3 linked regions of the Cricetulus griseus genome follow. The protein of the gene in region 1 purifies or fractionates together with the protein of each later gene. This does not show direct contact. Links are inferred from orthologs where the notes say so. Each region holds a gene or a part of one and is shown on either strand. Other genes may lie near its edges.

What was found. Proteins that work in one complex are often made in the same cells at the same time.
Region 2: the proteins of Mapk7 (region 1) and Pfdn1 purify together in Homo sapiens (affinity purification with mass spectrometry; 3 studies listed by BioGRID and IntAct, with this or other methods). This does not show direct contact. The link is inferred for Cricetulus griseus from reciprocal best matches to the Homo sapiens genes MAPK7 and PFDN1.
Region 3: the proteins of Mapk7 (region 1) and prefoldin subunit 4 purify together in Homo sapiens (affinity purification with mass spectrometry; 3 studies listed by BioGRID and IntAct, with this or other methods). This does not show direct contact. The link is inferred for Cricetulus griseus from reciprocal best matches to the Homo sapiens genes MAPK7 and PFDN4.

Annotation. Positions count from the first base shown.
Region 1 is NC_048600.1:75,490,691-75,495,941, reverse strand, and holds the end of Mapk7 (mitogen-activated protein kinase 7), read left to right. Parts: intron 1-345; coding exon 346-1,424; intron 1,425-1,527; coding exon 1,528-2,183; intron 2,184-2,509; coding exon 2,510-2,643; intron 2,644-2,751; coding exon 2,752-2,905; 3' UTR 2,906-3,204; downstream 3,205-5,251. Other genes in the region: Mfap4 (microfibril-associated glycoprotein 4), read right to left, coding at 4,007-4,254, 4,621-4,803, 4,876-4,972. UniProt on the Homo sapiens protein: Plays a role in various cellular processes such as proliferation, differentiation and cell survival. The upstream activator of MAPK7 is the MAPK kinase MAP2K5.
Region 2 is NC_048595.1:201,062,688-201,069,243, reverse strand, and holds the start of Pfdn1 (prefoldin subunit 1), read right to left. Parts: upstream 3,854-6,556; 5' UTR 3,756-3,853; coding exon 3,723-3,755; intron 1-3,722. UniProt on the Homo sapiens protein: Binds specifically to cytosolic chaperonin (c-CPN) and transfers target proteins to it. Binds to nascent polypeptide chain and promotes folding in an environment in which there are many competing pathways for nonnative proteins.
Region 3 is NC_048596.1:275,034,414-275,039,090, reverse strand, and holds prefoldin subunit 4, read right to left. Parts: upstream 1,956-4,677; coding exon 1,554-1,955; downstream 1-1,553. UniProt on the Homo sapiens protein: Binds specifically to cytosolic chaperonin (c-CPN) and transfers target proteins to it. Binds to nascent polypeptide chain and promotes folding in an environment in which there are many competing pathways for nonnative proteins.

The DNA of each region.
Region 1 (5,251 bases):
GTTTGTTTGTTTGTTTTTTGAGACAGGGTTTCTCTGTGTACCTTTGGAGCCTATCCTGGCACTTGCTCTGTAGACCAGGCTGGCCTCGAACTTACAGAGATCCGCCTGCCTCTGCTTCCCAAGGGCTGGGACTAAAGGCGTGTGCCACCAACGCCCAGCCAACTTTTAAGCTTTTTGTGATGTAGAAAAATCTAGAACCTGATGCTATTTTTTTTTATATCATCTGCTAGTCCTTTAGGGTTTCAGTGTAAGGCCATAATATCTAGAATTGAGAGGAGGGCTAGTGAGGATTGTGCTTGTCCCTGTAATATGAGACCAGCTCACACCTTTTGTCACCATTTCCAGCTATGTAGTACTGGACCTCATGGAGAGTGACCTACACCAGATCATCCACTCCTCACAGCCACTCACACTGGAGCATGTGCGATACTTCTTGTACCAGCTGCTTCGGGGCCTCAAGTATATGCACTCTGCTCAGGTCATCCACCGTGACCTTAAACCCTCTAACCTTTTGGTGAATGAGAACTGTGAGCTCAAGATTGGTGACTTTGGAATGGCCCGTGGGCTGTGTACCTCCCCTGCTGAACACCAGTACTTCATGACTGAGTACGTGGCCACTCGCTGGTACCGTGCCCCTGAACTCATGCTTTCCCTGCATGAGTACACACAGGCTATTGACCTCTGGTCTGTGGGCTGCATCTTTGGTGAGATGCTGGCTCGGCGACAACTCTTCCCAGGCAAAAACTATGTGCACCAGTTACAGCTGATCATGATGGTGTTGGGAACCCCATCACCAGCTGTGATTCAGGCTGTGGGGGCTGAAAGGGTGCGGGCATATATCCAGAGCCTGCCACCACGGCAGCCTGTACCCTGGGAGACAGTATACCCAGGTGCTGACCGCCAGGCCCTCTCACTGCTGGGCCGCATGTTGCGATTTGAACCCAGTGCCCGGATCTCAGCTGCTGCTGCCCTTCGTCACCCCTTCCTGGCTAAGTACCATGACCCTGATGATGAGCCTGATTGTGCCCCACCTTTTGACTTTGCTTTTGACCGTGAAGCCCTTACTAGGGAGCGCATTAAGGAAGCCATTGTGGCTGAGATTGAGGACTTCCATGCACGACGGGAGGGCATCCGCCAACAAATCCGCTTCCAGCCTTCTCTGCAGCCTGTGGCTAGTGAGCCTGTGTGTCCAGATGTTGAGATGCCCAGTCCCTGGGCTCCAAGTGGAGACTGTGCCATGGAGTCACCTCCTCCAGCACCACCACCATGCTCTGGCCCTGCACCTGACACTGTTGATCTGACTCTGAAGCCTGCGCCCCCAGCCAGTGAGCTTGCCCCACCAAAAAGAGAGGGTGCCATCTCAGACAACACCAAAGCAGCCCTCAAAGCTGCCCTGCTCAAGTCCCTGAGGAGCCGACTCAGAGGTGCTTTCATGGGTCTAGCAGCTGGCTGGCTAGTGGAGTGGTAGACAAGGACTCTTGAACAGAATTGTAAGCCCTTACCTTTCCCTGTCCAACTGCCCTGCAGATGGCCCCAGTGCACCCTTGGAGGCACCTGAACCTCGAAAGCCTGTGACAGCTCAGGAACGCCAGCGAGAGCGAGAAGAGAAGCGTAGGAGGCGACAAGAGAGAGCCAAGGAGAGGGAGAAGCGACGACAAGAGAGGGAACGCAAGGAGAGAGGAGCTGGTGCCTTGGGGGGGCCCTCTACTGACCCTCTGGCTGGACTGGTGCTTAGTGACAATGACCGAAGCCTGCTAGAGCGGTGGACTCGCATGGCTCGGCCTCCTGCCCCAACTCCAGCCCCAGCCCCAGCTCCATCCCCTGCCCAACCTGCTAGTCCTCCCACTGGCCCTGTATCTCAGTCTGCTGGTCCTCCTCTACAGCCTGCAGGCTCTATTCCTGGTCCTGCCTCCCAGCCTGTTTGCCCACCCACTGGCCCTGCTCCCCAGCCTTCTGGCCCTCCTGGACCTATCCCTGCCCCACTCCAAACTGCCCCTTCCACTAGCCTTCTGGCCTCTCAGTCACTTGTGCCAACTAGTGGGTTGCCTGGCTCCAGTGCCCCAGAAGTTCTGCCTTACTTCCCATCTGGCCCACCACCTCCAGATCCTGGGGGCCCCCCTCAGCCTTCTACATCAGAGTCACCAGATGTCAACCTGGTGACCCAGCAACTGTCTAAGTCTCAGGTGAGAAGAGAGACAAAGGCCTGGGTACCTTGATCTGGGTCCTGGAAGGTGGGTTTGGGTTACCATGTTGGATGGAAAAAAGTAGCAAAGGGATTGTTACCTCTTTGAGCCTGCCCTCTTATCACAGTGAAGAGGTTGTTGGGAAGTAGACTCTAGAAAGTGGCCTAGAGACAGCACCAGTTGTCTTAGTACTTGATTTTTGATTTTGAGATCGTGTTCATGTTCTGGGATATTGGTCAGAGTGGTGAGTAATAGCAGGCTGTGTCCTGCTGACCTTAATTTGTCCTTCCTGGAACCTGTGTTGTAACCTGTTATTGTCCCTGCAGGTGGAGGACCCCCTGCCTCCTGTGTTTTCAGGCACTCCAAAGGGCAGTGGGGCTGGCTACGGTGTTGGCTTTGACCTAGAGGAATTCTTAAACCAATCTTTCGATATGGGTGTGGCTGATGGGCCACAGGATGGGTAAGATGGTTGGACTGAGCTCCTGGAATGGGGCTATGGCAGGGTCCTTGGATGGCTGCCCAGCTGGCTCAGGCTGAGAACACCCATCCCAATTCCTTTTTCTTGCAGCCAGGCAGACTCAGCTTCACTCTCAGCCTCCCTCCTGGCTGACTGGCTTGAGGGCCACGGCATGAACCCGGCTGACATCGAGTCTCTGCAGCGTGAAATCCAGATGGACTCCCCAATGCTGCTGGCTGACCTGCCTGACCTCCAGGAGCCCTGAAACCCACAGCTTGTGCCTTGCTGTCAGGACAGACCCAGCTTCAAGGTCCAGGGATGCAATCCAGAGGCCTGCAGCCTTGGCACTGGCAGGTGAGGCTCAGCTTGAGTTACTCTGCAGGTTCATCTCAGACCCACCTTTCAGCCTTAAGCAGCCACCTGAGCCACCACCGAGCCATAACAGGATTGGGAGACTACTCCCCCTGAGCAGTCTTCTCCAGTATTGTATTTTTATTGTTGTAATATGCATTTGTTTTGCCATCAAAATGAGGTCTGTGAAATATAAGGTTTCTTTTAAGCTGACTGTGTGTCATTTCTGGACCTGGGGTAAGAACACCAGCAGTAGGCGTATAAGGAAGAGCCAGGTGCCCGCATTATTTGGGGCCAAGTAAGTGTTTGTCCACAAGGTCACTCCATCAGATCCTGAAGGTTTATTGAGACCTCCACTTCCCACCCACTCCCAGCCCCACAAATTATTCCCTGCTGCTGCCTTTCATGACAATCCTTGGGGCAAGTAAGGGACCTAGTTAACATGCCTATCTTGCCGGTGGCTACTTCAGGGTTGATGAGTAGTGGTGGTGAATGTTGTTTTGGCATTGAACTCTGAATAACTAGTGAAGGCAGGTGGAGTTGGGCTCCATGGTGCTCACTATAAGGGAATGAATTGGTGAGGGGGAGACCAAGGGTGGGAAGTATTCTGGGTGGGAGTGCTGGGGTGTAATAGTGGCAAATGCCATAGGTGCTGCATTATGCCGTCTAGGGTAGCCCCAAACAGATGGGTCTGCAGTAAGGGAATTGGCTGTGGTGGAATGCAAAAGCTGGCAACTAGAAGGTAGCTTTTGGCTTCCAGCTGTCAGGAAGGAGTAGAAGCAACTTGGAGTTTTTATAGGGTGCAGCCAGATCCATGCTGGGATGGCTGGGCCACAGAAAGGACTAATGGGCTGCTGACAGCCTAGCCTCAGGAAAGCAATAGGGTCTGGACATGGGACAGGGATTTGCCAGGGCATTGCTGGTGCTCAGAAAGCAGCAGAAGCAGTGTCTTGTGGGTATATCTTGGAGACTTGGGGCTTCTAGGGGAGAGATGGGGCCTGCCTGAGCCAGCTCCTCAGGCCCGACGAATTTTCATCTCAGTACGCTTGAGGGAGTAGTAGAAGCCTTTCCACTGGGCCCAGTTGATGCCATTGGCATAGGAGAGGTGGGAACCACCCAGGTAGAAGCCGTTGAGATTGGCGAAGTGGCAGCTTCTGAACCAGAAGGCCCCTGAGGAGAGGGCTGCACAGTTCTGCACGAAGAGGTCCTGGTCTCTGTCGAAGGTGGAGAACTTCTGGCCACTGTGGTAGGACAGTGAGTCACCTGGCAGGAGGGAGAGAGGATAGAACTACTGAGGCCAGGAGCAGAGCCTTGTGCTGGCAGTCTAAGTGACAGCAGTTGATGGATGACACTGGGGGACAGAACAACATCATGTGGCATCCTGTTGGGATGGAGGCACCCTCCCTGAGCCACAAAGAGAAACAGCTGTTCTGGAGCAAGGCCAGGGTGGCTGTTCCCTAGGGCTGGGGTTCAGGTGGCTGGAGTTAGTCTGGAGAGAGCTGTGGCTCTTCCAAGTCCAGAAGGGTTGAAGGAGGATCTTTAAGGAGCCAATGGGGCAGGGGCCAATCCTATGTTATTGTGCCCCGCCCCCTGCCCTGCCACTGCCTCTGAAGAAGCTGATAGGGGTACCTGCCCCGCCATCCTCGAAGCCAGCCACGTAGAGGGTATAGCCATCCTCCTCAGCACTGACGGCGTTGGGGGAGATGGAGAAGTCAACATACTTGGCATAGGCTGTATTGTTCTCAAAGTCTTCCAAGTCCACTCGCAACTCATACTTCTGCTTCAGCGTCAGGAGGTGCAGGTTCTGCAGCCCTAGGGATGGGTAGCAGCTGGTTAGCAAAAACTTGGCTGAGGGGCAGCCCCTACCCTGTGGCCCCACCTTACCCAGCCAGTACTCCCCATCAGCACGGCCAAAGCCCAGCTTGTAGTCGTTCCAGCCCCGGAAGAAACTCACTGAGCCGTTAAATCTTTTCTGGAAAACCTAGAAGCAAGAGGATAAGGGACTGGATGATGAAGGCTCAGTACCCTCAGGGGCTCTGCATGGTCCTGCCCTGCCCCCCAGGCCTGGCACTGCGGAGCCAGTTTAGTAAGGACTATAGTGAGTATTGGGGAGTTGCTAAAACAGAACACACACCACCTCCAGGCCTCTCATTGAACATCTGCTGCTGAAAAGGGGGTACCTACCTGGCCTCTTGTCCACTGAGAGACAAGAAGGGGGAAAGATTAAGGGAAATTTGGGGGCTGGGGACATAGCTTAGTG
Region 2 (6,556 bases), on another chromosome or scaffold:
AACAGAACATACTAACCAAAGCTGTGAAATTCACCAAAATAAACATAAATGAGAGTCAACAGAATTCTAATACTATGCTAGATTCTAAATGTACCCTGTTCACAGACAATGTGATCAATATGAACAAGCAAAGCAAAAGCCTATTAAATAATTGTATTTGAAATAACCAAATAATAATAAAAGGAATAAGTAAAATACTTGGGATAAAGCTCAGAGATCCAAAACAAGAATTATTCAAAGCACTTCACATTACTTCAAAATCCTGGCTGGAGACCCAGACCTGGTGTCTCATGCCTGTAATCCTAACAACTGGGAGGCAGAAACAGAGGACAGAGTAGTTCAGGACACAGCACACAAGATATTCAAGGCCAGCCTGGGCTATAAGACACCTTGTCAGAAAAAGAATTTTATTAGGGCCAGTGAGATTGGCTCAGCAGATAAAGGCACCTGACATCAAGCCTGATGACCTAAATTTGATCCCTGGGAGCTACATAGTAAGAGAGAACTGACTCACTCAAGTTGTCCCCAACCTCAATGTGTGCACTCACACTCAAACACACACACACACACACACACACACACACACACACACACACACACACACACACTTTTTTTTTTAAATTAAGATAGAGAGACAGACAGACAGACAGATGTCCATGAGCTTGCTCAGCAGGTAAAGTTTCTTACGACCAAGCCTAACAACCTGAGTTACATACCTGGAACCTGAACCCACATGGTAAAAGGAGAAAACCAGACCCCCAAAACTATATTCTGACCTCCACATAATGACCACACACTAGCATGTGTGTGCCCACAATTACAAGCCAGGGATAGAGGTACACACTCTTAATCCCAGCACTAAAGGGGAAGAGGCAAGAGGAGCTCTTGTAATTTCAGGATCAGCCTGGTCTACATAGGGAGTTCCAGCTAATCAGAGCTTTATAAAAAAAAAAAGGGGGGGGTGAGATTTACAGCATGAGAGAATGCTGTATAAGATTAAGTCTACATGTTTTAAGTAAAGAATGGCAAAGAGCAGCCAAGAGGTGGTGGTGCATAGCTTTAATCCCAGCACTCAGGAGGCAGAAGCAGGCAGATCTCTGTGAGTTCAAAGCCAGCCTGGTCTACAAAGCTACACACAGAAACCCTGTCTCAACCCCCCCACCAAAAAAAAGACGAACATACTTAGCATCCCCGGAACAATAACAAATGGCTTCTTTTATTAGCAATAACAGCTATTTCAGCTGTCCTATTGCTTAGGCAAAGGGTAAACAGAGGCAGCTACTTAAGATGTTACTGGGAGCTGGGGAAATGTTCAGTCAGCAGACCTAGGATCACTCCCCAGGACCCACAAAGAAAGTTAAGTTTGAGAGCCGGAGGGATGACTCAGGGGGGGTTAAGAGTACTACTCGGTGTTCTTGCAGAAGACCCAGGTTTGGTTCGCAGTACCCACATAGCAGCTCACAACCACCTGTAACTACAGTTTCAGAGGGAATCCAAGGCCCTTTTCTGCCCTGAGGGGGCTGTACATACATGCTATACAGTCATGCAGGCAAGACACCTACATACGTAACAATACAACTTGTTGTTGTTGTTTAATGCTAGGCATGGAGACAGAGGAAGAAAAGAGGATCCTTTAAGCTCACCAGCTAGACAATCTAGCCAAAGTGGCAATCTTCTAGGTCCCAATGAGTGGTCATCTCAAAACACAAGATGAACAGTCCCTGCCTTGTATGCAGGAAGCCCTAAGAGCAATTTCTGGCACTGGGGAAACTGGGTGTAGTGGTACATGCCAGCTACATAGCCAAGTTCCAGGCCAGCCCAGGCTACATGAGACCCTGTCTCTGAGGGGAAAACAAAACAAAATCAGAATCTGGGCCAGTGAGATGGCTCATCTTGTCTAAAGGCAAGAGTTCAATCCTCAGGGCCCACTTGAACCAATTCCTAAAAGTTGTTCCCTGACCTCCCCTGAGCAATTTGCAGGTGTGTCTACATGTACACACATAAAAATACACAACTTTTTAAAGTAAGTTGCTCACCTACAGAACCTACTGATCAAAATGTTATGATCATACCAAATTCTAGACTCCATTTTTGAAATGTATTTTTTATTATGTGTTTGAGTATAGGCCAGTGTGCTGGAGTGTGAGTCTGAGACATTATAGAAAAAACTTTGAGCAGTTCTGTCCTTCCACCATGGGTTCCAAGGACAAAACTTTAAACAGCCAGGCTATCGGGCAAGTGGCCCATCTTGCTGCCTGGGGCTCAAATCTTGTAAGATGTTTCTTGCCAGTGACCCTAGCAAACGTCTGTTATCCTAACACTCAGGAGATAGTGACACTAAAGAGCATTAGGGCTTCAGGGCCTGATCAAACAAAACAAACAAACCACACACTTAAAAACACTAGAAGTTTACTTTTCTAGAAAAATAGATTTAGCGGGCAGTGGTAGCACACACCTTTAGTCCCAGCACTCTGGAGGCAGAGGCAGGTGGATCTCTGTGAGTTCGAGACCAGCCTGGTCTACAAGAGCTAGTTCCAAGACAGGCTCCAAAGCTACACAAAGAAACCATGCATCAAAAAACCAAAAAATAAATAAATAAAAAGAAAGAAGGAAAGAAAACAAAGTAGATTTAAACTGAATGAATTATAGGGTTCTTTATAACTATAGGCAACTCTCCACAAAGAAAGCACAGAGGGGTCTTAATATTGTTAGGATCCTAAGACTTTTAAGTGGCAAAATGTTTCCAATTAACAACCCGCTTTATAAACCAGCGTTTGACTCGATTGTAATTCCAGCCCGGCAGTGGCGAAAGCCTTTAATCCCAGCAATCCGAAGGCAGAGGCAGGCGGATCTCTGTGAGCTCCAGGCCCAGCCTGGTCTACAGAGTGAGTTCCAGGTCAGCCTGGACTGTTCACAGAGAAACCCTGTCTCGAAAACCAAAAACGATTGTAATTCCAGACCTCAAGAGGCTAAGGCAGGAAGACTGCCTGGAGTTCAAAGCCAGCTTAGCTACACAGTTAAGTCCCAAACGAATCTAGGGCACACTGAGATACCGTCTCTAAAAAACAAAGCAAAAACAAAAACCATTTATAAGAAACGGATTGAGCAAAAAGAAAAATCCAATTCCTCGGACCACGCCTTCGGAAAACCTTACTGGATTGGGGGGGGGGGGGGGCGGAGGCAAATTCTTTAAAAAGAAGATAGGCAAGGAGCATTAAGGCCTTGACATGAGCATTGGTATAACAGTGTCTGGTTTTCTGAGGTATAGAAACAAGGACGTTTCAAAGAGTGGTACAGAATAAGTGACCTAAAAGCAAATGTTAAATTTGGAAGTTTTTCAAATCAAATGAGGAAACCGAATTACAGTTGGTGCCTCGGCTCCAAAGAGCACTATGAAGGGCATCCGTGTGAGACGCTGTCTTCGGTCTTGCTTTGAAAGTGGGTCCCTGATGGCTCCAAAATGCAGAGAGAGGATGCGAGTGCAGGACGTGAGGGCATACCGCAGCCCGCTAACCCGCTCGCCCACCGGCCCGGAGCAGCCCCTGCCACCGAGAGCCCCCGGGACCCCGAAGCCGCGCGGCCCCGTCTCAGGACTCCAGGGAGCCAGCCCCGGCCCCTACAGTCTCCTTCCTTCAGCGAGACTCGAGTCCCCCTCTCATTCTTGTCCCCACTCGCTTCATCATTCAAACAGAAGGCTCAGCCTGCTCCACAGCCCCCGTTACCTTCTTCAACTCCAGATCCACGGGGGCCGCCATATTGGAGCTCTCTATGCGCCTGCGTTAGACGCAAGCCGGAAAGGGATGGGGGAAGGGCGCTTTCAGGTTTAATTGCGAGGCTTCCTTCTGCGCCTGCGCGTAAATCAAACTCCAACCCAGATTTCTCACTCGGTATATCTACCCTACTCCACCACCCCGGCATGACACAAGTGACCCTAAACACTGGAAATTCCGATAAACTGTGATAGAGGAGTAACTGCTCAGGTGTGGCTCTTAGCTCCCACACACAATTAGACAAACATCTTTGGGCTGCAGAATTGAAACAGGTGTTATTGGTCATCACAGCCGTCAACCATTCAGTCCTTCAGGTAATCCCGGTGCTGTCAAGAGATGTATAAAGCCCCCAGCTTCCCGCAACCCAGTAAAACCATTGGAAGATGTGATTGGAATATTCACCCAGAAAGATCTTAATTCTGCTAGAGCCTCCTCAAAGATTTTCTAAGATAGTGCTTTTCAAAACAAGCCACATATAATTTCTGCCTGGGGATGTAGTTCAGTTAGCAGAGTACTTGCCTAGCACAATTGAAACTCTGGGATTGTTCCACAGCACTGCATGAAATAAGTGTGATGGTGCAGGCCTGCGCACCAAACGTTAGATAGATGGAGGGAGACAGGAGGATCAGAAGTCCAAGGTCAGATCAGCAAGACGGCCTAGGGAATAAAGGTGCCTGCCCCCAAGACTGACTACATGAGTTCAATCTCAAGAACCCAAGTGGTGCAGAGAACTGACTTCCACAAGGTATCCTCTGACATCTATGTTTGTGGCCCGACACAGGCTTAGGCACACACACACATACAATAAGTGAATGCACATTTTAAATTACAATTAGGAAATGGAGGAATAGGTCAGCAGTTAAAGAGCATGTACTCTGACTCTCAGTACCCATGTCAGATAGCTCACAAAGAGCTGTATCTCCAGCTTCAGGGAAACCCAACACCTCTAGCCTCTGCAGCACCTACACTTATATGCTCACACACCCACATGTACACATGAATACATAATTAAAAGTAATAAGAATATGGGGCTGGAGAGATGTCTCAGTGGTTAAGGACAGTGACTGCTCTTCCAGAGGACCAGGGTTCAATTCCTACATGGGTTCAATACACCCACATGGCAGCTCACAACTGCCTGTAGTTTCAGTTTCAGGGGATCTGACACCCTCACACAGACATGCAGGCAAAATGCCAATGCATATAAAATAAGTAAATTGAGAAGAAGAAGAAGAAGAAGAAGAAGAAGAAGAAGAAGAAGAAGAAGAAGAAGAAGAAGAAGAAGAAGAAATCTTTTAAAAATTAAAAAAGCTCAGGTTATCCTCAGCAGCATAAAGAGTTGGGGGTCAGTTTGGGCTACATGAGACCTGTCTCAAAAAGAAAAACTAAAAAATAATAGATGAGGATCAAGCATGTTAGTCTATGCCTGTGATCCCAGCACTAGGGAAACTGAGGCAGAAGGATCACCATGAATTAAGGGCAGTCTTATAGTTGGGGTTTCTGTTCTGCCTGGTCCCTCTACTGAATAGCCCCAAATAAGCACACAAAGACACTAATTATTAAACTGTTGGCCAATGGCTCAGGCTTCTTACTGGCTAACTCTCTCTTAATTATTAACCCATAACTGCTAATCTATGTATTTCTACATGGCCTTATCTTACCAAAAAAGGCTCCAGCATGTTATTCCTTCAGCGACTACATGGCATCCCTGGCAGCCTCTCTCTCTGCGTCCTCTCCCCAGCCTTTTCCTCATCTGGTAGCCCCACCTATACTTCCTGCCTGGCTACTGACCAACCAGTGTTTTATTCATCAACCAATAAGAAAAACATATATACAGAAGGACATCGCCCATCACAGTCTGCTCATGATTCCAGGACAGTGTAGGCTATTTATACAGGGACACCATGCCAAGAAAGAGACAGTGGCAGGGTACCAACTGGGATCTTATACAGATATATATTTTGGCTTTGGTTCTGTCATTCTTTCATTCCTTCTTGGCATACTGTATACTTCTTAAATATGAGGACTTGTGTAATCCTAGAGACTGTACAGCCAGTGTCTGTCTAGAAGTATGTTGAAGCATCATGTCTCTCAACCTCTGCTTTACACTTCCTATCTCTCTGAGCTAGACCATGGCTTTCTACAATTCACTTCACCAATTTAAGGATTGTCTCTTCAACTGTGTCTCATCTATCATTCCACTCGTACTTCAATAACTCTAAACTTTAATTTTTTATTTAGTTTTTGATTTTGCTCTTTTGAGACAGAATTTCACTCTGTAGCCCATGATAGCCTTGAGCTGATCCTCCTGCCTCAGTCTCCCAAATACCGGCATTATAGCTGAGCACCACCAAGTCCTGTTAAACTGCAGTTTCTAAAATTCTACTTAGGCCAGCCTGGACCTACATAATTAAATTCTGCCTCAAAAAGCCAGGAAAAATTTCCACTCGGTTATTTTCTAATCCATCTACTCTTTTCCATAATTTCATGGTATTACTAGATACTGAAGCAATTAGAGCACATTCAATGTAAGTACTGTAGACTTTCTTTACAATGCCCTGAACCAAATGGTTTTCTGGATATGACTTCTTTTATTGAAAATATCTATTAGATCTCTCTTGATCCCAGTACTGGGGGGACAGATCTGCCTAGATCTCTGTCCAGACCAGCCAGGACTATATAGTCTAAAAACAAGAATGAAAGAAACATCTTTGTGAATGGCTTCCTCTTTTGTTTTGTTTTTTTTGAGACGGTTTCTCTGGGTAGCCCTGGCTGTCCTTGGGTTTACT
Region 3 (4,677 bases), on another chromosome or scaffold:
GGACAAGGCAGTAAGTGCAAACGGTGAACAAGGAAAGGGGTATTTGGTCATCTTTAGCTTGTCTGACTTTCATGGAGTAGAATTAAGACACCTTTTGGGCTCACTGCCCAGAGATAAAACAGGGGATGAAAATATTTATTTGTTTCTAAGACTCTTGCTATCCCAGATGAAAAGCCCACCTTGGTTGTAACTTACTGTGATTCGAGCTGTTTTGAGGCAGGCCCTCCTCACCACAGTCCCCTAACTTGCTCCAGTTTTGGGCAAGAGGTTCATCAGTCACTCTGGGGAAAAAAGTGGGACCCCTGTCCCAACAGAAACTGAATACACTAAATGAGAATTATTCCCTATTGGCACCAGGGAGTCATAAATAGCCCAGTGGCCCCAGCTGAATCACCAGAGCTAGTCCTGTGTCAGCATTTCTGCATAAACCAGGGTTTGCTAGGGGATTAGCTCACAGCCATAAAAAATTCTGCTGTAGGCTAAAGCCTGGCCTAAAGGAAATCTCAGCCCAGGAATAGATACTGGAAAGAAAGCCAGATGACGCAGCCCCCAAGCCTCTCAAGACAAGGGTGCCTGTCACCAGGGTCTCTTCAGGAGGGCTCTGCAGCCCTCAGCAGACATTGGTGATTCAAGACATTGACTGTACCTGTCATAGTTCAAATTTGGGTTTTTGATGCTGCTGTTTGTTGTTGTTGTTGTTGTTGTTTTAAAAAGATGTCTGCTGCTTTGAGAACTTGGAAAACTTGAACTTGAATTGAGCATGTGTGATCCAAAGCCTTTCCCTTCCCTGACGGTGAACAGTAAGGGAAGAGGTACTGAGCTAGGCTGGGACCCGGCTCACGCCCCTGACTGCTCACACATCTCACAGGTAACACTCTGAGAGCTCTGGGCCTGGACTGGGCTCACACCCCTGACTGCTCACACCACAGGTAACACTCTGAGAGCCAAGCTCAGGGACCTAGCCATGTGTAACACAAGCAGGCAAGTAGGGAAGGGCACCATCTCGTAGATAAAACCAGGCCCTTCTTAAAAATTTAGGAGTAATTAAGCTTTAAAATATTCAAACCCCTTTCTTTTAAGGGCTTTTAGGTTTTATGACTTAGAAAGCTGTCCATTCCTGCCTTATAGACACATTCTCTCAATTTTCTCCTAATGTTTTATATAATTATAAAGTGGTTATGTTTATATATTATAAATAAGATATTTATATCATATATAAAATATAATTGCTATATAATTATTGTAGACAGCCTACAATAATTATATAGCTATTATATTTTATATACAAATTTTTTCTGTTTAACTGATTTTAATAACATGACATAAAGCCCCTAAAATTGATATAATCATTATGCAAAATACATATATGAATACTGTCTTCTTTTTAAAATATAAAATAAATAAGTAAGACATGTGAAAATAGGCAAGTTTCCATTAAATGAAAAATTCTTAAAAAGAAGGTTTTCCCTTCGTTTCATTTAAAGAAGGAAAACGACCATTTAAGACAATATTCAAGTTTATTAAACAAGGTTAAAAAAGGTATTATAAAATGTTTAGCTTTCATCCACCCCAAGGTTTATGTTGCTGCCAAATTTTGTGTATAACTGTACTTTCAGGTTGGCTAATACCCACTGGATGGCTCCCACTCTGGACTCTAAGGCGTCGATCTCTTCTTGCAAAGTTTTCTTTGCTTCTTCTAACATCTCCTGGGCTTCTTCTTGAGAGTGGCTAATGAGAACATCTCTGATCAGGTATTGGGTCATGAAGCAGTCACCATCTGCCAGCATGATGTCGTTGAAAGTGTCTTCTAAATTCTGGAGGTGGTTCTTCTTCACTTCTATCTCCTTTTGCTCTGTGATTCGACTCGTATCTCGAGCAAATTTGTTTATTTTTTGTTGATCTTCGAAAGTAACATTGACGTCTTCTGCAGCCGCCTTCTTCATGGTGGCCACCATCTTGGACTCATAAATTTTTAAGAAGCTATTTTTGTCACATACTTTGTGTGACAAAAAAAATATATGGGAGGAAAGTGTTTGTCACACATAAGCCACAGGTTTGCACTCTGCTGTGATAAGGAATGGAGCGCAGTTTAAAGATGAGGAAATGAACACTAACAAGAGTGAGAACGTACAGAACAACAGCAGTAGCTAGGGAAAGAGGAATCGGAAGATGAAGATGATGGTACTCTGGTCTGGAAAAGACTTCCATGCTGCTTTGTTTTCAAAACATAAAACATTATTTTATAATATTTTAAGTAGAAAAAACTTTAATTACTCCAAAATATAGTTTATTGAAGAGGGGAAGTAGTTATAGACACTCAAGATGTGCTTAATCACCACACAGACTAACCTATGGCCGCTGTGGCAGAGCCTCTGGTTCTCTGCTTAGACCCTGGGGCAGAGAAGTCAGCAGTCTTGGGAGGCAAAGCTTGGGATACACAAGCGTTTGCCTTGAGAGTCCCGGAGAATACAGCACCCATGCAATCCTCCTCAGGCAGCATTTGCACTATGAGGGCAGCGAGCATCCAGTTCCACAGTGAAGAAAGCAACTGACCTGGGAATTACTGTTACGGGAGGCACAGAGAGCAGTCGGTTTCACCTGTGGTGACTGCTGAATGGAAGACTGTGGTTTCCCCACAGAGCCTTCCTCAGTCAAACGGGTGACACCGTGTATGCCTAGAGCTCAGACAAGTCTTGCTAAAACTTACATTTTAGACTGCATGGGCACAGTAAAGCCAGCTCTGAGGAGAGACACACCCTTGCCTTCAAGTCCCCTCTCGCAGCCCTCAGGATGCTGATTCTTGTTGAGAGAGTGGACAGGCTTGCTCGGTGTGGTGCATGAGAACTCCTGGAGGACGCATGTCCCTGCTGCTGGCCATTCGCAGCCCACACCCATAAGGAATCACTTTGCTCTGCTCAGCTTCAGGCCCTGCCCTAAAAGGATGTGTGCAAGACAGACCTCGCAGACAGTGCCCTTACAGTGCAACCCTCATTCTAGCTGCACACCTAACTCAGGCCTCAGCCCTTAACGCAGGTGTGACCTTTCTCATGGTCTCACAGCTGCCCCCCAACCTACCTTCTCCTGCAAACCCCACAAATGACTGTAACTTCTTCAGAGCCCAAAGGGCCTGGCTTTCTTCCTCAACATCAGCACCCCTTGTTTTGTGAAATCTTTACTTTCTGGTCACAAGAGCTAAAGAACCTTCGTTTGTCCCACAGAGCTTCAGTGAACACTCCTTATAAGCCAGGGTCAGGGTGCAGCAGCAAGGGAAACAGACAGAGCTCTGCCCTAGAGGGATTTAAATTTTATCACAACAGGCAAAATTAAATTCATTCATAAATATCTAGTTTAAGTGCTACAATACCTAGCAAGGCTATGGAGGGCCAGGACGGGTAGCCGTGGGGTTGACAGGGTGTTCTGTGAGGTTCCTTCCTGTGGGAGGGTGATGGCTCTTAAATGTGGGCTAGAGTGAAGAGTTGGTCTGTAATGGGCTTACTTCTCACCTTGCTCCCTTTTACTACAGTCCCATTCTCTCTGCACAGGAGACTCTAACTTCAACAAAAGCGTATTTGGGTAATCCGATATAAACTAAATTTAAACTTTGACCTCCGACAATAAAATTACTACTTTCCCTCTCTCTGAAGACCCGAAAAGCAGATGAAGGGCCTACTAGCCTCACTTTCTGCATTTCTAACTTACTCCTAAGATGATTCTAAGCTTCACTCAGAACCATCTGGGAACAGGTCAGGCCTGCGGTGGGCAGCTAGCGCGGAGCCCTTCTCCCCTTCTCGTTCTGTAGAGAAGCCACACATTTCTGGTTCTTGCAGCCTAGCTTCTGCTCTGTGGTACTGCTGCTTGGGGCCAAGTCGGAGCTGCAAACACAAAATCCAACTGCTGCCTTCCACCATACGAAAAATCTGTGCCGATTCCCATTTTGTAAGAACCGCTTTAATCCCCGCTGTGGGTCAAGGTTAAGTGTGGGCTTACTCCAATCTGCCCCACGTCATGTTATAATTCCTGTAGGTTATCGGACTTGGAAATGAAGGCAATTGCAGGGTCCACGTGGGGCTGTCTGCAACCAAGACCACTGCCTTCTCCGAGCCTCCAGCAGCCGCCCTGCCTGCCACTGCACATCTGCCATGCATGCACTGGACTCTGAGCGTGGCCTTCACAGGGCTCAGGTCTTCTATCTACAAAATTAAAGCCCAGCTTTTACAATTTTTTTGTTAAAGAGAGAAATTAAATGTCATAGTCTGGACCAGAATAAGCAACCGAGCGTTGAGATTCGGGGGTGCCCTGCATTAATAACTGTTCACTGAGGAAGCATTTCCTGTTTATACACGGAGCCAATGAGAATCCATCACGCCTGTCAAATACACTGAACACCAAATTCAAATGTCAAAGCAAATGTAAGAGGTCACACATTTCCTCTGCTAACTAAAAGTGTAATTCATAAATATTATTGCTACCAAAGTCTCCATCCACATCATTTGCTTAGAAATGTGCACATGTAATATAAATTGTGATTGAGTTAAATGGGTATATTATTTCCTGTTTTAAGGGCTAACAGCAGCATGAATTATGCTTTACTGCAAAGAAATCTTGAGTCATCAGCAGCTCTGCCTGAGCACAGCCCCACATTTTACACCCCCAGGTTGGGTTTTGCACACCCATTCA